Linked DNA regions of Diceros bicornis minor. The protein of the gene in region 3 interacts with the protein of the main gene of each other region in a biochemical or structural test. Links are inferred from orthologs where the notes say so. Each region holds a gene or a part of one and is shown on either strand. Other genes may lie near its edges.

Region 1 (7,104 bases), on a different chromosome or scaffold from region 3:
TACATGTTTAGAATCCAAATTTTCTTGGATTTTTTTCATATTCTAAAACAAACCATTACTGTGGAAAATCCTATATACAACTGCAGCTCTTGAATCTCAACATTTGACAAAATACACATCTCATTAGAAATTGAATACTTTTTAAAAATTCCCATTGCAGCTTTTTAGTAAGAGAAGCCCAATGAGTGTGGTTTACCCGCATGGCTTCCCCACGAATGCCAGCATGCACAGACAGTGAGCATTGTCGTGTGGTTCGAATGCTCTCCATGACCACACACAATACCGCCTTTCTGCTGCTCCTTGACTGACGTATCAAGCTATGGTCAAAATTAATTTTTCTAAAATGAAGAAGAGAGACGTTCACAAGAATCTGTAACATCTAATTACATATAATCAAATACAGTTTTTGCTATCAGGTGTTACTCATGCACAGTCCACCTTAACTAAAAGTAAATCAAGGCAGGCCTAATACAAATCAGAAAGTAAGCTCAAAAGACATTTAATAATCTGCTTTTCCTTTCTATTTTCTTAAAACATGCTTGTTATAGGAGTGTATTGGAGGAGACTCTCTTATATTTGTTGCAAGCAGATTCCTATATTCTTTCAATCCAATAATTTAGCAAATGCGTGCAGAGCCAAAGCCATTTTGTGGAACAATTAAAAATTCTGTTTAAACCAAATGATTGTGGATATCTACCAAAGTTTGCATATATTACTAATTTGTAATATTTCAAACAAATCAAACAAATAAATTACATTAGTAAAATACAACCTGAATGTTTTAAGCATTCTTTGTAATGAAGTTTACGTAATTAAAATATTTAATGAAAACAGTGAAGTATATTAAGGATTATTATACTGACCGTGTAGTGATCTCCTTGAGTAACGTTGATACTTCCACTTCGTGTTTGGTTACTACACCAAACGAAGCTTTTACAGCAATGGAATCTGATCCAGCAACGTTAATCCCAACATCATTCACAATATGGTTGCCTCTCCTTCCGTAGAGTGAGACATCTGATTCATCTTCATAATTCAGTAACTGATAAGACGAAATACCTTTAAGAAAAGGAAATTAATATTTTTTAAATGTCTTGAATTCATCTAACGTAGATTACATATAGTAACACGTTAATTTTCTATTTAAGACTCCATTACTCAAATGTGGAGGAAGGCAACATTTCAAACCAAAATTAAAAATAGCAATTTAATTAATTTGACAACAAAAAGAAATAAATAGCCAGAGTACTTAAAATGAACTCAATTCTATGTTCAGCCAACAGAACTTCTTAGGCATCAAGATCCAATGGGCGGTTGAAAGAACACCAAGTTTTTATAAGAAATAATTTGTCAAAATGTCAATTTATTTTCTAATCCAGCCTCTAATACATTTCACTTTATCAACTGTAATAACTGAATCATAAAAAAATAAATGCAAATTACTTTCATTTCATTTGATCATGTGAGATAGGTAAGAGTAAACAATACCCCATATTATAGATGAAGAATTATATTATGTCATATTCTAAGTTGATTTGGTTAAAACAATTTACAAAATAATTAAAATAAGATTATACAATAATCCTACAAAATAGGTTTGAAAATTATTCAACTAATAAGAGATGTGATACTGTATAAACTTTAGGCATTGTTAATCTTAGTATTATTACTGCCATAGTAATAAAAGTTATTTTTATCAATGAAAATGTGTCAATATTAGGAACATAAGTAGTATATACAATCTATGTTTAGATCACCAATAATATAGCTGAATTAGTCCCTCCCAAACAGACATTTAAACTTACCAGCTGAAATTTCTCTGTCTCCTAGAAGAACATCTTTCAGTGTAAAAGGTGTTGAGGTAAATTTATATCTAGGAAACAGAAAGCATCGCTTTTTTTTTACCACCAGACTTAGAGGTTGGTATTTGTCAGCCTCACTGAGGCTTGGAACAGGAACTAATCTCCCTCCATCTCCAACTTGTTTGACAAAGCTCTTGGTAGCAGCAGCAAACATATTAACATAGTATTAAAACATCATCAACTGCAACCCTCAGATAAGAAATCCATATTTTCAAAGAAAATCAGGCACAAAACTAAGCCTTGCTTGACTTTAAATATAATTATACCTGCTAAAAATACAAAGTATAGTTTCACCAAGTAGTTTACCAGTGTACAATCCACACACACCGCCTCCCCTGGCGTGCTCAGGTAATGAATTATAGATCAACGGTGTAAAATGATATACTAAAAGCAAGTCTAATTTGGAATTGCAGTCTATAGCACTAAAATACACAGAAAACTAATAATTACATTACCAATGTCTTTGATGAGGGTCACAGTTGATAGTGGTTTGCCAGTCTTGAGGGAAGCATATAGCCCTATGGGGAACGATGCAATTTAGGCACTAACATTAGCCCTGGACACCATCTACAGTGGACCTAGTCCAAAGGGAACTCCTTTACAACTCCATCATGCCAATTTTGGCAACAGAAAAGTGCTGTTTGGAATCCTTATGGTATACAGTTCACTGTTTGAGCATTTCATTCATTTTCCCTGTATGCTTACAAAACCAAGTGATTAATATAAAATATAAATTCATAGAATATAAGGAAACAATTGTATGCAGATCTTTGTAAAATACTAAATGAAAGCCGCATTACATAACTGTATACTGACATTTGGGTTTCTTACTCTGAAGCTGGCACATAGACAACATCTCTTTGAAACGGGGTCCTGCTGCATTTATTTTCTTTTTGTTTCATGATTATTATCCCAGTTACTCAACCTTTAAAAAGAGCTATATAAGGTTTTGGCTTGTTTTTAAAGGAATTTTGTGGATAAAAACAAATTTTAGAAACAAACCTGAGTGCTGAAATAATGTATTGCCATAGTTATGTGGATGTTAATATATTTTGAAATAGTGGCTATGTGGTACTTAAAATAAGATATTTGTTAAAACATAACATTAGTGGGTAGTAATCGACATACATACACATATTGAGGGGGTAGGGGGAGGAAGAGAGAATAGGCTTAATTCCAGCCTCAAATAATATAAATCAATTTTACTAGATTCTAGACATTTTTTTCATTTACTTTCAAGCATCCAGGGCTCACGTGCAACCAAAAAAAAAAAAGTTTTTAATAATAGCCCCTCCTGCCAATACCATTGGGCAAAGCAATCTTCCAGAACACCGAGAAAGCACACGAAGTGATTTCTGCAAGTGGCTAGCAAACCCCTAGAAAAGCGATACATCTAATGTCGCTGTCTGACCTCCACCAAAAGTGGTGCATCCCAGGCAAACGCCATTACAACCAACAACACAGGTGTGCAGAAACAACATTTAATTGGAATCAGGTACCATAAGAAGCCTTCGTCTACACGTAATATGTCTTGTAGGGATCCGGTGGCTCAGCATTCTTCTCGCGACCAAAACCTAGAAGACAATGGAGCCCACCTGGCGGGAGAGGAGTGGGGTCTCAGATGTCCTCGCGAGCTCCTAAAGCTCCTGAGGGCCACCGCAGCCCTCAGGAGCGGATATTCCGCCAGTTTCAAGCTTCGGGGCCAGGCCCGGGGAGTGTCTCTAGCAATTTTGCATTTGGAATTTTGAAATCTTTTTCTTAAAGTGACGCAGCCCTCATCCTACGCCCTAACTCCCCCGCCAAAAAAAAAGGTCTAAGCTTCAGGCCTCACACACTGTGAGGCTCGCCCGCCGGACAAGCCTTCTCTCCGGGCAAGAAACGCCCTCCTTTTAAGGACACAGAACTACGGCCTTGCCGGGCCAGGCGCCGATAAGCCGGCGCACCGAAGGGAGGGCCGCGGGCAGGAGCTGAGGACAGCCGGGGCGGGGAGGCCAAGGGGTCTGGAGGGGAGGGCGGGGTCTGGAGGGGAGGGCGGGGCCGGAGCCGGAGAGACCCTGAGCCGGTGGGCGGGGCCGGGCACGGAGAAGGGCCCGCAGCCAGGGCGGCGAGGGGGCGTGGCCGGGAGCCGGGGCGGGCACTGCCACACCGAGGCTCCGCCTCCCCCCCCGCCCGTCCCCTTCGCGAGAGGGACGCAAGCGGGAGGAGAGGAGGAGTGGGAGGAGGGGAGGCGGCGGCGGTGGCGCTGGAGCGCTTCTCTCGGGGACCGGCCGACCGGGGGAGCCAGCACGTCGCCACGCACTGCTCTTCCTCCGGCCGCCGAGCCGTCCCTTCTCGCCATGTCCCAGAGCAGGCATCGCGCCGCGGCCCCACCACTGGAGCGCCAGGACAGCGGGACCTTCAGGTCAGCGCCGGGGCAGTCGAGGCCGAGCCGGCAGGGCCGGGAGTGGTGGGCAAGAGACGCGGGGGCGGGGGAGCCGGCTCTCCAGCGGCATTCTGGGTAAAGCCCCTTCGCGGCGCTTTCGCCCCCGCAGCTGCGGGCGGACCGGCGGGCGCTCGGTCCCGCCCTCTCGGCGGCGCGCGGGCCGGGGTCTGCGGCCGGGCCCCGCCCCTCCTGCGGCCCCGGGCGGTGCGCGGGCTGGGCGGAGGTGGCGCGCGGCCGCCACCCTGAGAAAGGCATTTGTGGGCTTGGTCCTCAGAGGTCGCAGCGCCGGTGCCTGCCCTATTCTGCTACGAATCCCTCCTTCGCGCATTCGAGTTAGCCCCCTAAAGACCTCCCTCGCCCTGCCCGCCGCTGCCCGGTGCCCGCCGCAGCGGGGCAGGGAGGCTGGTGCGCCTCGCCAGCTCGGGCCCTGGCCGCCTGGGACCTTCGGCTCCTCCCGCGTCACCGTGGATAACGATCAGAACTAGCCCCTGTCTGCTTCTGCCTCCCTCTCCGCTTTGGCATGCAAAGCACACCTTTTTCTGGTTTTTGCAGTTTGGGGAAGATGATTACAGCTAAGCCAGGGAAAACACCGATTCAGGTATTACACGAATACGGCATGAAGACCAAGAACATCCCGGTTTATGAATGTGAAAGATCGGATGTGCAAATACACGTGCCCACTTTCACCTTCAGAGTAACCGTTGGTGACATAACCTGCACAGGTCTGTATGCAGTTAACCTAGATGACCAGGCGGGTTGGCGGTCAAGACTTGGTATTGCTTTGCAGTTCGGAAAAGTGCCCTTTTTACCTGAGACAGTGGTGAGGAGCAGCCTCTTGAAACTGAGAGCTCTCATCTCAGGTCATTGGAACTTTCCAAGTTCATCTGATTCTCTCCCTAATTTTCTCTTCCCCAGATACCAAGACAAGCTCAGAAACATACCTTAGGACTCTCCTATGGTTCTTCCTAGAATTAGGGAGAAGCAGGAAAGGTTCTTAGACTCACTAGGCACTTTGGGCCCCTTGCACCACACTCGATTCTGTATCCAAGCAAAATGAGGAAGGCAGAAGGCTCAACTACACTATATTGCATAGCATCTTCTAGTTCCTGATACTATACAGATATTTAATACGTTATCTCTTTTTTATACATGAGGAAACAGGTTCAGAGAGATCATAAGTAATGTGCCCAAAGTCACATAGCATCGAAGTTTCAGAGTTCAAACTCAACTTTATTATGGTCTGTGAACTTGAGCAACTGACAACTGAAGTTGCCCGTTTGTAAATGTAGACATTTTATTTCTTAGGTATCTTATTTAATTGAAACATAAAAAATATTGAATACTAAATTTAATTTGGAATAATGCCAAGAAAAAAATTCAGCAGGAAGGCTGAAGTTCTACCATCTGGTCATCTGAGGCCGTCATTTGTTTGTGTCCCTGAAAAGCTGGAGTCCGCTATTTTCATTGAAGCCACTTTAAGAAAATTTTGAAGCTTTTTTGTTTATATGAGGCAGGTGGATTGTAGGTGCCAGCTGGAAGTTTCCTCATATGAACCATAGAATCAGCATTGCATTAGTGCTTTAGCTGGTCTATTTTTAAGTGTTCAGTGAAAATTCAAGAAAAAGTAGCCTTTTTTCCCTCAGTGTGTTTTAGACTGGAGCCTAACAATCTATGGTAACCATTCTGCCTTGGCCCCCTACCCTTCTCACACTGCCCTGTCTTCCTGTGCAAGCTTATCTGCCTCCACAGCTTCAAATACTATCTAAAGGCCGATAATTCTGAAATCTCTATCTTCAGCCCAGGCCCAGTTACAGAACAGTGTATCAGCCTGTGCTTGCTGGGCATCTTTGTTAGGATGACCTAAAGGCACCTCAGTCTCTCATTGTCCCAAACTGAATCCATCTTCTTTTTTCTCACATCCATTCCCCAACCCAGTAAAGGCACCACCACCACTGATTTTCTCACAGTAGAAATCTGTATTTCATCTTCTTGACTCCTTCTCCTTGTCCAGACTGTCACCATCTCCTACTTCCTAAATATCTCTTGCATCTGTCTGCTTCTCTCGTTTTCCCATTGCTACCGTCTGGGCCACTGTCATCTCCCACTTGGAATATAGCTACAGTCTTGTAGCTGCTCTTTCAGCTTCTAGTCTTGTGATGTCCATTCTCCACAGGACAACCAGAGTGTTCTCTCTGGCGTCCACATCTGTTCATGTACTTTCTCTTCTTAAAATCCAGTCAGTGGTTTCCCATCAACCTCTGGACAAATACAAATTTCTTAACATGACTTACAACCTTGTTTCTCAAAATGTGATCAACAGCAGCCTTGATATCACCTGGGCACATGATGGAAATGCAGAATATCAGGCCCCATGCCAGACCTACTGGATCAGAGTATGCATTTTAACAAAATTCCCAGGCAATTCCTATGCACGTTAAATTTGAGAAACACAAATTTAGGATACTATTCCTTAATCTCTCCCTCTCCCGTCCAACTCTCTCGCCTTTTATCTGAAAATTCCTCCCCTTGGGCTCTTACTGTACCCACCTACTTGGGGCTCTTGAGCACACCCTGCTCTGTGTTGCCTCTGAGCCTTGGCAGGGGTCTTTTCTCTGTCTAGAATGCTCTTCCAAACCCCCAGCTCTCTTCACTCTGCTAGCTTTTACTGATCTTTCAGGTCTCCATTTAGTTACCTCTTCCTTCTTGAAACCTTTCTGAATCCTTCCCAAGAGTCGGGAGCTGCGCCTTTCATGTGCCTCCTACAGCCTGCACTGAGGCCTGTCGTAACACATACTACTCCATGTTTCAGATGCCTGTTTA
Region 2 (7,398 bases), on a different chromosome or scaffold from region 3:
ACGGAGACCAGAAGAACTGTGCTTCTTCTTGACCCAGACTTGGATAACGAGATCAGGGTACAGCCTAGGTGGGAAAGTATTTAATTCATTGTGCTTTTTATGTATTTTTATTGCTACCTAGTCCCAGTTTTAACGTTAAATCTGTGCCTCTGGGAAGTATTTCTTTTAACTCAAGTACAACATACTACTACACATTCTTTAAAATCGTTTTCTATTAACTATAAAAAGCACTCTCAGATAAGAACTCTGTAAAATCATTTCCTTTTAGAAGGCATCAAATATTCACGGAACTTTATTTTTAAAGGATAAATCAAATAAGACATAGCTTTCATTGTCCCAAACATGCATAATCCATCCTTAATATAAAATGCGCTCAATTGGTAAATCACACATGAAATACAAAGGGAATGCAACTTTACATACGTAGAATGATGGCCAGCTATAGCAATTTAACAGTCAAATTAATACACTGTGTATTAAAAAAAAAAAAACCCAACATCTTAAAGCCAATTATAGTAAACCAAGGGAAATTCTGCCATGGAATGGTTTGACTCAACGCAAAGAATAAGGCACCTGCTATGAATTTACAGTAACTTTCATTTTTAAAGTTACAATAATATAGAATGTTAACTAAGACACTTGTTTCAAAGAGGGAAACAAGCACAAGGGTTGATTTCCTGGGTGAGAACGGCAGGTAACAATGCAGATACTGGCCCAAGGTCAGCTGACTCCTTTTCTATTCCAGAGTAGTCCAGTTCCTCAACATCCTTAACAGCTCCTCTCCCTCACTCCCCACACTCCGGGGTATCAGAGGCTCTCTCTGAGGTGCACACCCTGTGTAGACTAGGTAGCACATTTCCCTTCTGTTCCTCTTAAAATAGCTTATTTTAAAAGAGATATCCTGAGGCAATTAACAAAGCAAACAAGCAGCGTTCTTTCCAATTCATGAATGCACAGCCACCTCTCGGGCTTTCTCCATCACCATATGGCTAAGGATTTGCATGGCCGATGCCTGCAATTTTCAATAGTACCAGAAAACCCAAAACCTGCCTTATTACTCACCCTTACCATTAGTAAAAAGAAAGTTTGATCAATCATAACCTACAAAATCAAACAAAGGGAAGACTAAAGACTGACCCTTATCAGTAAATCCATTCAATTCCAGATGAGTCTGATCTACCTAGTACCCTAACAGAATTCTAATCATAAATCTAGAAAAAGCATTTCCAAACTAAGTCTCACTGTTTAGTAGATGTGCCCTTTTTTGGTATTAAAAGTGCTGTTAACATGCTAACATGTCTTATGGCACACTGGACTCAACAGTATGTCCTGACGAGGCATCCATTTTTAGTAGTATTTTCCCCTAAAATGTTGTCTAGCATAGTAGATCCCTCCTTGATATATTAAAGTAATTCTGGTGAAATCAATGGTGACATAAGCAAAGCTTCCCTGACTCAACTCCACCATGGTAGCTTTCAGCGACACTGAAGTGACTGATGAAGTTACAAAACGCTAAACCAAGCTGTTTTCTTATGGCATCTTAGGTTAGTATATTCCCTCATGCAAAATCCAAGGTAGTGTCATAGAAATAATATCATTAAAACAGATGTTGTAGCTATAAGCATCTCTCTTTAGGCATTTAGAAGCTTTTAAAAATTTTTAGGTGCTCAACATTGTGGGAAAACTAGGCTAACTGTGTAGTTGTTCCATTTATAAGCACTTTATTACAGGACAGTTACATGACCCTATATGGGAGTGTGCTTTCAATTCAAAATATAGTAATAAAGTGCCTAACTATATAAAAACCGTAAGATACCGAATTTTAAATTAAACTAATTGCATCTACACATTAGAGTTAACAAAATCTAGACCCTGTCTACACAGATTTAATCTAATTATCTACATTGTATACTGTTTTAATAACCACATTAAAAAAAACTTACTTTTTACTGACTGAATAAGTAGGGTCCACTACTGTAGCTTAACAATCACATTTTATTGCTTTATTCATGTGGTGCTTTTGCAAGGCACTGTGGTATGGACTAGAAAACTTGGAATGACTCGTGAAGAAACCTTGGAATGACACATGAAGGATGGTATGAAAAGTCATTCTGAGGCAGGATGCTTTACTGAATTGTTTTTTAACCAGGGTATCAAACATCAGGAACGAGTTCAAGTTAAAATTCACAGGAGAATGGAAACATCTTAAGGTCAGTCACTTCACATGCCCATCCTGATACTTTGAATAATCTGGAAAATTGCTGTAAAGAGAAAGAGCAAATATTAAAACATGCTTTGAATAAAACAGGTCTTGCAACTGACAAATATTTATTAAGGTACTTCAAGAATCCAAAAGTACCCTTACGATTACTGGCAAATGATCTGTATTTTCATTGTAGTAAGGAGTGAAAACAGGCCTGCCTGCCTTAATAAAACAATTAAACGTCTGCAAGTTATTTATTTTAAATCTCAGCTTCTCTGAATTTTGTCTACCTGTCCAAGAGAGTTGGCAAATAAGCCATCATTTTAGAAAGAACTTAAAGCATCCAAGCAAACGGGTTTTTCTAGCATAGAATTATTTTGGTTTATCCCTAAATATTAAATGTCCTTTGATGGCCTGGCCTATAATATACACTTGTTTCCTCATTCTCACAAAGCTGAAATTCAGTAATCTTTAGGTTATATAAATTGCTTGGCTCTTGGCCATTTATCAGGAAAGCTTCCAATTGGTAAGTTTAGGAGACAGGCAACATGGACTTCAATATCAACAACGTGCATATTAAGATAATAAAGGAAGAGGAAAGACATCTTGTAATCCATTTGCAGAGACAAGAGTCTATTACTCTAACAGCAAGCTGCCCTGATAACTAATTTTTCCTACCATATGTCAAACGTTTCTTTTATTAATCTAAAAACATTTGTCTCACACATTAAATTGCCAATCAGGTACGTTTCCTCTAGAATGAATCAATTCTTTGCACTAGCTTTAGTCTATAAATATACCCAATTTTGACATAAAGACGTTAGATTCTGGCACATGTAAAATTAAATTCAAACATCCATATGTGCACGATATCCCTCAGCCTCTTTTCTGCAAAGGCATTGATAGTGGGGGTTGCAAAGCATTCCAAATTCTCATTCCATGAGGTATTTTTGTTTTGGTCTAAATGTCTTCCAACTCGACCATTCCTAAGGCCCTGACCTCCTTTTCTGATCTCCTGTGAGCACAAATCAAACTGGGAGAAGTTTCTGGAGCACTGCCCTCTTGTACATATGTGGGACAAGTAATTTGGTTCAGACGGAACAGAATTATGTGGCGCTCCCGGCAGGTGGGTTGAGAACTCTGCGGGGAGGATTCACCACTGATGGGTCACCACGTCATCCCAACCCGTCACCCAACACCCTACCGGCGGGCAGCCCCCAAAACACTTACCAGAACCACAAACAACAAAAATGAAGAGAGCCAATAACCAGGGTCCTACAGACGCCTTCTCTTCGGGAGCATTTCTCTGCAAAAGGGAAAATCCGCAGTTTCAAATGCAAAACACCGCTGGGCCCCCGGGCTCCCGCCGCCGCCCCCGGGCCGGGTCGCCGGGTGCCCTCCCCTGCAGGTCTGCCCGCCCCTCCCGAGCCCCAGCGAGCGGCCGGCTCGCAGCCCGGGCCCCGGGTCGGCCGCTCCGGGAGCAGAGGGACGCGGCCCCGGCCCGGCCTGGGCGCCGCGGAGCGCGCGCCGCTCACCGAGGTCTTGGCGACGTTGCCGCGCTGGGTGATGTTCTTGCTGTGCTTCTCGTTGGCCATCCGGATCCGCTGCTTGGCGACCATCTTCGCGGCGCCGCGCCCGCCCGGCAGCCGGACTCCTCGCGCTCGCCCCGCTCGGCCGCTGCTGCGCTGCGCTCGGCTCCGGGGCCCGCGCCGCCGGGGCAGGAGGCTCTCGGGTGCGCGGTGCGGCCGCGGGCCTGGGCGGAGCGGGGGCCGCCGACCGACCGACGACGCCGACCGGCCGCCGAGCGAGGCTGGCGCGCGGCAGGAGGAGACGGGCCGCCGGGGACCCGCGCCGCCGCCGGGAGCGTGGAGGAAAGAGGAAGGGGACGGGAGCAACAACCGGACGGTGCAGCCCAGCGCCTCGAACTGCTTCGGGTTCGGCTGCCAACGTCAGCACCGGGCGGGCTCCGCCCCGCGGAAGGGCGGGCTGCGCCGGCCCGAGAGGAGGGAGAGGGCGGGCGCACGGGCCCCGGCCCGGCCCGCCCACGCTCTGAGAAGCGTCGCCCCGCCGCTGCGCCTGCGCGGCCCGGCTCCTTTTCCGCGGCGCTCTCCAACCGGAAGTGAATTGGCCCCGAGGCTGGTGGCCCCGGAAACGCCAATTCGCCGTCTCTAAGCGTGAGGAGACGTGTAGGGGACGGGTTCGGCCCTCGTGAACTCTGACCCGAGCGCACGGGTTTCTCTTTCCGGGACAAGATGGCGCCGTCCACGCCGCTTCTGACAGGTAAGTTGTGAATGAGCAAAGGACTGTTTCTTCAGCGCAGTTTCTTTTGTGTCCTTGCCCTTGGGGACTACCCGGGAAGCCTTGGAATCTGATCCGCGCTTTCTCGTGCATTGCGGCGGAGCCGAGGGCCTTCGGGCTTCTCCGTGTAGCGTGGCAGTCGGAAGTGAGGCCCCCTCGGGCTCCCGCATTCCCCCTCCCTTTTGCTCATCCGTCATTCTTCCCGGCCGCTTCCCGGATGGAGGAAGGAGGGTGATGACAGCAAGTGCCAGCTGAATTTGCTACCCTGGGTCTGTAGTACTGGAGTTACACGAACGCTTACCTGGTGACAGGCCTTGTTGAAGTCCTTTAGCTCTGTAGTAAGGAAAAAACAAGCGTATGACCCAGTTCACTAGAATGACCGACCACACGTTAAATACGCGTGAATTTAGGTAATACCAAACTCGGTACTCCTTGTTTAATGAAATTTGTAGGACTTAGTGGAGAGAGTGGAGCTGTGGTAGTGTAGGTTTCAGGTGATCAAAGTGTGTTTTGGGGTGGTAGCAGTGAGCATTATAGAGATAATCTGGCAACGTTTGGTGTTGAAGTGGTTATGAGCCTTATAGAATTAGAAATTAGAGGATTCCTGAGATTTTGAACCTGAGACAGAGTTTATAATGTTGAAGAAGGTGATAAATTTAGGCTTTCACAATGTCAGGGAAGACTGGACTAGGGTAATGGCTGAGTGTCTCATATATGAGTATGAAGTAAGGAGAGGGAAGTTGGGAGGGAAAAGAATAGAAGGCTTCAAGTCACTGATAACTTAACTTATATAGAAGGAAAAAGGAGTCAGTAAGAGAAAGATTGTCCACTTTTGAGGACTGGGGATTATTTCCCCTGAGACTTGGAAGGAAGAACCTTAACAAGCTTTCACACTTTTTGCCATTCTACGTTTTAAGGTCTTTGTTATCAAGCATCATGCCCACTCATATTCAATCCGGCTACCACAGTTCATTCATCAAACATTTATCAAATACTGACTATAATTTGTTAGATAATATGCCAGGCAGATACAGTTTAAAAGTCATAATTACATACTAGATGAGTTTTTTTCTCTAGGTTCATAAAGGTAGCTTGTATCTTATTCATAATTTTGAAACACTAAATGCTTATTTGAAGTCTAACAAAAAAAAATTAGTACATTTTAAAATCTGACTAATTTTCTCCCCTTTAAAAATCCTTACAGTGACTCCTTACAGGGTAGATTCCATCCTGTTTGGCATAGCAGGTGGAACCCTTTATAATCGTTGAATAGCTCTTAATATTCATTTATTTCCTTGCCACCCCATCCTATTTTGTGCTCCATCGATATTGAACTGCTTATAAAGTCCTTGAACAACCTATTTCTTCAGTCTAGGACTGTTGCTCTTGGTTTGGCTAACTTCTTTCATCTTTTAAAATTCATTTCAGACATTATTGGTTTGTGAAGCCTTTCCTCACTCTTCCCAGGTAGTCACTCCCCAGGCTATTTTCATAGCTTGTATATACTTGTTTTTTTTTTTTCCCCCCACTCGTCACATAGGATAACTACCTAGTTGTTTAGATGCTTTTCTCCCCTGCTAGACTGAACTCCTTGATGGCAGAGGTAGGGTCTTATTCATCCCTGCCTTCTCAGTACCAAGTACAGTGCCTGTTAAACAATAAACACTCTAAATGATTAATGGAGGAATAAATTAATGAAAGATAACCACTTCATTCATAGTCAAATTAACCAAGAATGACAATTTTTCTTACAATGCTTAAAATCAAGGACTTTGTAAGCGTTTAAAGGAATCATATAGTCTCAATACACTGCATTAAGCTGTCTCCACATTCTATTCACTGTTTTGCATTCAGTCCCTTCTAATTAAAATGAATTCCTAATTAGAAAGTCATATGTAGAAAAAATTGTTGCAGTTATTGAAAAGATTTTGTTTTGAGTCCATATTTATTTTTGCTTTTTATTAACTTGTAATACAGTTTATGTTTTGTTATGAACCTGATTTTGTGTTCCTTCTAATAAACTTTGTATATCCATTTATTAAAATTTGTGTAAGAAATTGCTCAAACTAATTAAATCCAATAAAGCATCTTAGTGGCTCCAAAATGTCTTGCCATACTTTCTCACAGTTATGCTTCTCTGTAGGGAGATGTGAAATAAAACATTCGTTTAATTTTTTTTTTATTTTATTTATTTATTTTTTTTCCCCCAAAGCCCCAGTAGATAGTTGTATGTCATAGTTGCACATCCTTCTAGTTGCTGTATGTGGGACGCGGCCTCAGCATGGCCGGAGAAGCGGTGCGTCGGTGCGCGCCTGGGATCCGAACCCGGGCCACCAGCAGCAGAGTGCGCGCACTTAACCGCTAAGCCACCGGGCCAGCCCCTAATTTTTTTTTTTGTGAGGAAGATCAGCCCTGAGCTAACATCCATGCCAATTCTCCTCTTTTTGCTGAGGAAGACCGGCTCTGAGCTAACATCTATTGCCAATCCTCCTCCTTTTTCTTTTTCACCTTTTCTCCCCAAAGCCCCAGTAGATAGTTGTATGTCATAGCTGCACATCCTTCTAGTTGCTGTATGTGGGACGCCGCCTCTGCATGGCCAGACAAGCGGTGTGTCGGTGTGCGCCTGGGATCCCAACCCGGGCTGCCAGTAGTGGAGTGCGCGCACTTAACCACTAAGCCACGGGGCCGGCCCCAAAATATTTGTTTTAAATAGTAGTTTATATGTATGGACAAAAGTACAATGACGTCATACAATTTTTATGATGAATTCAACTGATAATTAGTTCCCCTAAAATAGACATAGCTATCGTAAAGGACCAACAGTGTCATCAGTCTTTAAAGTAGCTTTGATGTGTACTTTTGTCTGATGGAATGTGTTTTTAACTTAGTACAGAAAT
Region 3 (7,196 bases):
AAAATTAAATATTCCACTTTAAACCTCCTCACCTTCTCCCTTTTCTTCATCTGCTGTTTTCTTTGCATCCTTTCATCACTCATTCAATAAATGCTCATCGAATGTCAGGCACTGTTCTGACATTGAGTATACAGACGTGAACAAGTCCCTACCTGCATTCCAACGAGGGAAGAAAGAAAATGACCACGTCCAGTAACAAACAAAGGAGAGGATGAGAGGATGACCAGAAGGATGAAATTAAATAGGGGTGCAGGATAGAGGGTGCATTGGTAGGTGGGCGCAGAGATATGAGGGAAGTGGTTTTAGATACAGTGGTCAGGGGAAACCCTTCTTAGGAGGCAACACTGAAATCAAGCCTGAATGATGAGCGAGTCCATCATACCAAGATCTGGGGGAGAGTATCTTAGGCAGAGGAAACACTGAGGCAGGAACCGGCATAGCATTTGGAAGGATAACAAAAAGGCCAAGGGGATGTGCTGCACAGGTAACGAGGAGGAAAGGGTAGGACATGAATCAGAAAGGCAGGCAGGTGCCACGGCACAGAGACCTTGTAGGTCACGGTCAGGACTGTGGATGTTACTCCAATTGCAATAGGAAGCTATTGGAGGGATCTAAACAGAGGGCTGATGTGACTGGGTTTATGTTTTAAACGATGACTGATGTTTGTAAAGAACAGAGTATGCGGGGCTGGGTGTGGAAAGGGGAGCAGAGCATGAGTAGAAGGAGGGAGACCATGTAGAGGCTGCTGCAGAGGTTGGGTGAGCAACAGTGGTGGCTGGAAGCAGGGTCTGGAAGTGCCAGGAGTCCGAGCAAAGGCAACGCCTTCACATTCCTGCCTAGTGTGGTGGACTGAGTCAGGCTTTAGAGCCACACAGACCTGGGCTAAATCCTCTCTGGACCTTTGATTAGTGACCTGAAAACGTGATTCACAGGTTGTTGCAAGGAGTAAATCAGATGAAAAGCATCCAGCAGAGTCCCCCACACCATTGGCTTCAATAAATGGTGCTCCTGGTCTATAATTTCGAAATCCAAAAAGCACTATAAACTGAGGTTTATTTTGTTTATAGTGGGTTTGTAGTCCCCTGTCTAGACCTGAACTGACAGGAGCTATTTAGAGTCTTTATGATACTTTGTTGTCTATCTATACACTTCCCTGCAGAAATGTGTTTTATTATAGAGTGTTGCCCCCAAATCCTGCTGAGAATATCATATAATAGATAGGATTTATGCTGCCCTGCCTTTCTAAAATCCAAAAATCTCTCAATACAGGAACATACCTGACCCAAGAGTTTCAGATAAGGCTCCGTAGACCACCATTATTTTCAGGAACCAAAGTGTCATTCAGTTTAGTCACAACAATGAGACCATACACCAAATTGGAGGGGGTCACAGATCTCAGAACAGCAGTTATGGAAGAGTCCTTAGCAATTATTTAACCTGAAGACCTATCGAATGCTCTAAATCCTCAGCACTTTTAACTCTAAGTAACTGCTGATCATCAGAATGACAAGCCAGTCTGACTCTAAGTGAAATATATGTGTAAACTAATAAGGTGCTGAATTGGTATGTTTGAAAAAGTACTTACAAGTTTGGAAGAAAAGAAACAGTAGGTTTCTTTTCAACTATTTTAAATAAATCTTGTTTTAATTCTGTGTTACCATGTTCCTAAAAGAAATCACCATAATCACAAACAAGTGTTATATGTCCATCTTACTCATGCCCAGAAGCCACTTTGGCTGGGAGTCTTGATCCCTTCTGCCAGACTGCAGCCCCCTGGGGCTCAGCCCCTCCAGGGCCTACACAATGCTTGGCATACAACACACATTCCACCGGTACCTGATTAGTGAGATGAATAAACTACAGGTCGAGTGTTATGGATCTTCAGGTTCAAATAAGCAAACTGAAGAACAAGAGTATAACCTGCCCAAGATTCTAGGTTCCTGAGTGACAGCAGGGAGTGCACCTTTAGCTTCCACCTGGCAAGGTATCTTTATACTAAAGAAATCACAGGCAATAGGAAGTCTCACTAATCCAGAATTCAAAAGACAATTTATGAATTGCCATTCATTAAATAAATATTTAATGAGCATCTGTGATGTACTAGGTGCCGGGATTATACCAGCGAACAAAACCCTGCTCTTGTGAATTTACGAGTGGAGGAACACGGACAAGCCTATAAAAAATGCTACAGGGTGCTAAGTACCATGCTGAAAACCAAAGCAGAGCAACGGGGACAGCGAGGGAAGGGTGGGGTTTCTTTTATATGCAGGTGGTTCAGGGAAGGCTGCTCTGATAAAGCGACACTGGAAGAAGCGCAGGTTAGAGCGGGGGACTGGCTCCTGCAGGCATCCGGGGGAAGAGCTTTCCGGGAAGAAGAAACAGACAGTGCGAAGGCGCAGCGGCAGGAGTGTGCTTGGCTGTACCCCAAGAACAGCAATGAGGCCTGTGTGGTCAGAGTGGAGGGAGCAAGGAGCCTTGCCTGTGGGCCGATAACCGTTTATAGGATTCTGACGAGATGGCAAGCTATTGGGGAGGTGTGAGCCGGGGAGTGTCCTGTTCTGCTTTACAGGAACGCTCCGGCCGCTGCGGTGTTGGGGGGCCGGGTTACAGAAACGGGCGGGGGCTAAGGCCGGGAATGGCGAGACAAGTGCTACTGTTCAGGCCAGAGATTTTTGGCTAGGGATTATTTAGGCAATTTGGGGGTAATTCAGGCCTCCATATTTTCCATCTGTCTGTCAAGTTAGAGGGCGTATCTGTTTTCCACCAGCCCCCCCGCCCCCAACCCGGGCCTGGGCTATTCGTCACTTACTCGGATAAAAATGCTTCGCGGGACGATAACGGCTCTCGGTTCCCACTGCCCCGCACGATCCGGTGCCCAGATCCGGGACGGGCCCTGCACCTCGGCTGCGGGCCTCGGAGCGCGCTGCGGGTGGGGGTCGGGGGCCTCTCACCGGCGCGCAGGACGCGTCTGGGGATGCGGACGGCGCGCGCTCGGCCCCCGGCGCTGCCCGCTCACCCGCGCCGCTGCCGCCCGCTCAGCCGCTGCCGCCCGCTCACCCGCGCCGCTGCCGCCCGCTCACCCGCGCCGCTGCTGTCCGCGGAAGCCCGGCCGGAGCGGCGCCGCTCGCTCTCGGTTTCGTTTTCCCGGCGGACTCCGCCTCCCGCTGCGGCCGCCCGCCCCTCCCGCACAGGCCCGCACTGGCCCCGGGCCGCGGGGCGGGCTCGGCGCCCACGTGCCCGGGACCCGGCGGCCCCCACCCCGGCGTCTGGGGTTGTAACTGGCCCCTGTGCCGGCAAGGGTGAGGAGGACACCCCAGGCGCTCGCTCGCTGAACTGGGCTCTGGGATCAACGATCCCCTTTCCTCTTCAACGCAAACCTTTGAGGTGGGATTGGGGATGTGGATATGATCGGCTCCATTTTACAGTAGCAGAAACTGAGTCAATTATCTCACCCAGGGTCCTGACTCTGGAAAGTGGCAAAGCCAGGATTCCATTGAAGGGCCCTGCACATCAAAGCACCCCTCCCTGTCGTCACATTGACAAGGCTGGGGATGAAGAGGCCAGAGGGCATAATCTTTCTTCAATCTGTATCCACCCATCCATCCAGTTACTTGCCAGCCGCTGTACCAAGTACCGCCCAGGCCAGCAGTTACGCAAGCCACCTGCTCCCTGCGGCACCTCATGGAGTTTACGACCAAAGACTTTACCAGTAGTCCTCGGTTTTTAAGAAATCCTACTCACCTAATGGACTATGACACACTCCCACAGTAATACTGGCTCACTGACACAGCGATTGAGGAGTCTGAGGACTTAGCTCACAACAATACTGCAAGGTAGGTGCTGTTACTATGCCCATTTAACAGATGAGAAAATTGAGGCCTGAGGCTCAGAGAAGTTAACTAACACAGCTAGTAAGCGGCAGAGCTAGATTTAGAACCAGGAGTCAGCACCCTCAACATCTTAGCTGAGGTGAGGGAGAGAGGTGGTCCCGGGATGGACCTCAACTATACATTAACTGTTGGGCACTAGCTCTGGGCATCCTTTCCTACTTCTCTGCTATATTCTCTGCTATTGCAGAGTATCAATGGCTAAAAACTATATTTCCCTTGAAGCACTCAGGTCCTGGGGCATGATTTAAGCTCCCAAAATGTGAAGCACTGGTGGGAGGTTTGGAAGGCAGGCAGGAGGCAGAGCCATCTTTAATCGTGTGTAACCTATTCATTCACTCCCTATCTATGTCCCCCAAGAAGATCCAGAGGACCCTCCTGCACCACTCGTTGAGAAATACATTGGAGTGGGGAACATCAGCGTCCTTGGGCAGCCACTGTAGGTGGGGAATGTCTATGGGAGATGCTGCCATTGAAAAAAGCTCCCTGATTTCAGTGGTGATTATGGCAATATCTAAGATCCCCATGGCACTCCCTCCTGCTCTATCAGCCCGCATCTGTGAACTCATGTGGAGTTGCCTGTGGCCAGATGATTGAGAAAGAAAAATCTGAATGAAGCACAATACACTGGCATTAATCAGAAGTGGATTGATGTATTACTATAGCCCCTCTGGGAGGTGGCCCTAAAAGATAGTGGGAGAAAGGCAATCCTCCCAGTGGGCAAAACTTTGAGCAGTACATTTAGTTGTCACTTGGAAGGAGAGAAAGCCAGTGGCTTGGACAGAACCAGTGGCTAGCAATTTAGCTGGATATTCAGAGATTTGGAAGGAACAAGATCAGAGGGTTGGTGACACGGAGGTCTGGGGAAAATGATGTGGGTGAAACTGCTTCTGGATGTTGCAGGTTCATCATGCCATCAAGCCATCAAGAAAATAAGGGGGTTGGGCCAGCCCTGTGGCTTAGTGGTTAAGTGCACGTGCTCCGCTGCTGGCGGCCCAGGTTCGGATCCCGGGCGCGCACCGACACACTGCTTCTCCGGCCATGCTGAGGCCGTGTCCCACATGCAGCAACTAGAAGGATGTGCAACTATGACATACAACTAGCTACTGGGGCTTTGAGGGGGGGGAAATAAATAAATAAATAAATAATTAAAAAAAAAAAAGGAAAATAAGGGGGTTACCAAACTGGCTGGGCTGACTGATACGAATTACCAAGAGAAAATAGTGATGCAGCCACAGTGCTGTCAGGGACGAGTATGTCTTCAAACCAGGGGTTTCTCTGAGGTTCTTTTTAGTAATTCCATGTTCAATGATAAATGTTAGTGGAAATCTACAGCTGTCCAACACAGGCCAGACTGTTAAGGGCTCAGATGCTTCAGGATTGAAGGTTTGTGTCACTCTACCAGCTGGGCAGGTGTGTGAGGGCAAAGGGAACAATAAATAAGGAAGTTATAACTGACTATGGTCTCATGACCAGTTGAAGAATAAAGGACCATAGAACCTACACATTTTTTCTTCCTGCTTTGTTTTTATATGTATTAATGAACTTCTTTTGATTGTTTTTCCCTTTCCTTTTACATGAGATTTGTTGATGGTGGTTCATTTTATAAGATAGTCTTTAGGTAAGAGTGTTTGAAGGTGGGATTGTGACTAAAATAGAAGAGGAAGGGACATCATGTAGAAATGAGTATCGAGATTTAGGGGATAGGATAAGCATGTTTTCATTTGAAGGAGGGAACAGCTTCATTAGGTGGGAGAATAGTTTTGTCATTTGCTTGAAAGATTATTGGTAAAAGGGGTGGACTATATTAGATACTGTTAATTTTTATTTAGTTTCCATTCTCACTCCCTTCTGTGTCTCCTCATCTCCTGGGTTATAATGTGTGGAAGGTTAAAACCACATTTTCCAGATTTCTAGGGAGTTAAAATTCGAGATATAATTTGAATTCTGCCAATGACTGATGAGCAGTGGTGCAAGATTTGGAAGACAGAAAGGAAGAGAAGGCCATCTTTCTGTGACAGAACGGGCTGACAGGCAAGCTCTCAGGCCCAGGGGTGTTTGCAGGAGCAGGACTCCAGCTACCCTTCTCAGTTCTCCAAGGGTATGGGGCATCTGTGGTGGCAGCAGTGATGGCAGCAGTGGCAGTGGCAGGGTCTTGAACTTTGGATGGCAGCTACACTGGAAGTCTCCTGATTTCCATTCTGCCATCCCTTCTAACAATTATGTGTTCATTTCCTACTAAATCTTTCTGCTTGACATACTTACAGTGGTTTCTGTTTCTAGTACTGAACAAGGAGAAACCGCCCTGAAAATGGAGCCTACGCTGAGGGAATAAAGTTGAGAAGTGAAGATTAAGAATCAGATCCTTGCTTGAGCTCTGGATCAAGCCTCACCTGAAGCCAGACTCATCCTAGACTGGTCAGTGATAAGAGCCCTCTACCTCTTTTCCTTTCTACTATAAACCAATTTGTGTTTGATTTTCTGTTTGCTGCATCAAAAGCATCCTAACTGATCTGATATTCTAAAAAAACCTTCTTGGAAAAAAAATCTCATTAATTTATTCAATAAATATTTATTGAGTGCCTACTATGTGCAGCACTGTGCTAGAAACACAATGATGTACTTTGTTTAGAGTTTTTATCATGAAAGATGTTGAATTTTGTCAAATGCCTTTTCTGCATCTGTTGAGATTATCATATGATTTTTATCCTTCATTTTGTTAATGTGGTGTATCACATTTATTGATTCACATATGTTCTACCATCCTTGCATCCCTGGAATGAATCCCACTTGACCCTGGTGTATGATCCTTTTAATGTATTGTTGAATTTGGTTTGCTAATATTTTGTTAAGGATTTTTGCATGTATGTTCAACAGAGATATTGACTATAATTTTCTTTTCTTGTAGTACCCTTGTCTGGCTTTGGTATCAGGGTAATGCTGGCTTCATTAAATGAGGTTGGAAGTGTTTCCTCCTCTTCAATTTTTGGGAAGATTTTGAGAAGGATTGGTATTAATTCTTTACATGTTTGGTAGAATTCATCAGTGAAACCACCTGATCATGGACTTTTCATTGCTGGGAGGTTTTTGATTACTGATTCAATCTCTTTATTAGTAATTGGTCTGTTCAGATTTCCTGTTTCTTCATTATTCAGTCTTGGTAGGTGGTATGTTTCTAGGAATTTATCCATTTCTCCTAGGTTATCTAATTTGTTGGCATATAATTGTTCATAGTAGTTTCTAACAATCCTTAGTATTTCTATGTTATCAGTTGTAATGTCTCTTCTTTCATTTGTAATTTTATTTGAG

Evidence for each region.
Region 1: the proteins of EIF2AK2 (region 3) and PRKRA form a complex in vitro, tested with the Homo sapiens proteins (3 studies listed by BioGRID and IntAct, with this or other methods). The link is inferred for Diceros bicornis minor from reciprocal best matches to the Homo sapiens genes EIF2AK2 and PRKRA.
Region 2: of the proteins of EIF2AK2 (region 3) and EIF2A, one has a biochemical effect on the other in vitro, tested with the Homo sapiens proteins (4 studies listed by BioGRID, with this or other methods). The link is inferred for Diceros bicornis minor from reciprocal best matches to the Homo sapiens genes EIF2AK2 and EIF2A.

Annotation. Positions count from the first base shown.
Region 1 is NC_080749.1:58,885,583-58,892,686, reverse strand, and holds the start of PRKRA (interferon-inducible double-stranded RNA-dependent protein kinase activator A), read left to right. Parts: upstream 1-4,083; 5' UTR 4,084-4,198; coding exon 4,199-4,263; intron 4,264-4,836; coding exon 4,837-5,006; intron 5,007-7,104. Other genes in the region: PJVK (pejvakin), read right to left, coding at 197-338, 864-1,059, 1,806-2,016. UniProt on the Homo sapiens protein: Activates EIF2AK2/PKR in the absence of double-stranded RNA (dsRNA), leading to phosphorylation of EIF2S1/EFI2-alpha and inhibition of translation and induction of apoptosis.
Region 2 is NC_080741.1:4,579,178-4,586,575, reverse strand, and holds the start of EIF2A (eukaryotic translation initiation factor 2A), read left to right. Parts: upstream 1-4,370; 5' UTR 4,371-4,455; coding exon 4,456-4,483; intron 4,484-7,398. Other genes in the region: SERP1 (stress-associated endoplasmic reticulum protein 1), read right to left, coding at 2,221-2,261, 3,434-3,509, 3,739-3,822. UniProt on the Homo sapiens protein: Functions in the early steps of protein synthesis of a small number of specific mRNAs. Acts by directing the binding of methionyl-tRNAi to 40S ribosomal subunits.
Region 3 is NC_080751.1:46,995,198-47,002,393, reverse strand, and holds the start of EIF2AK2 (interferon-induced, double-stranded RNA-activated protein kinase), read right to left. Parts: upstream 3,006-7,196; 5' UTR 2,810-3,005; intron 1-2,809.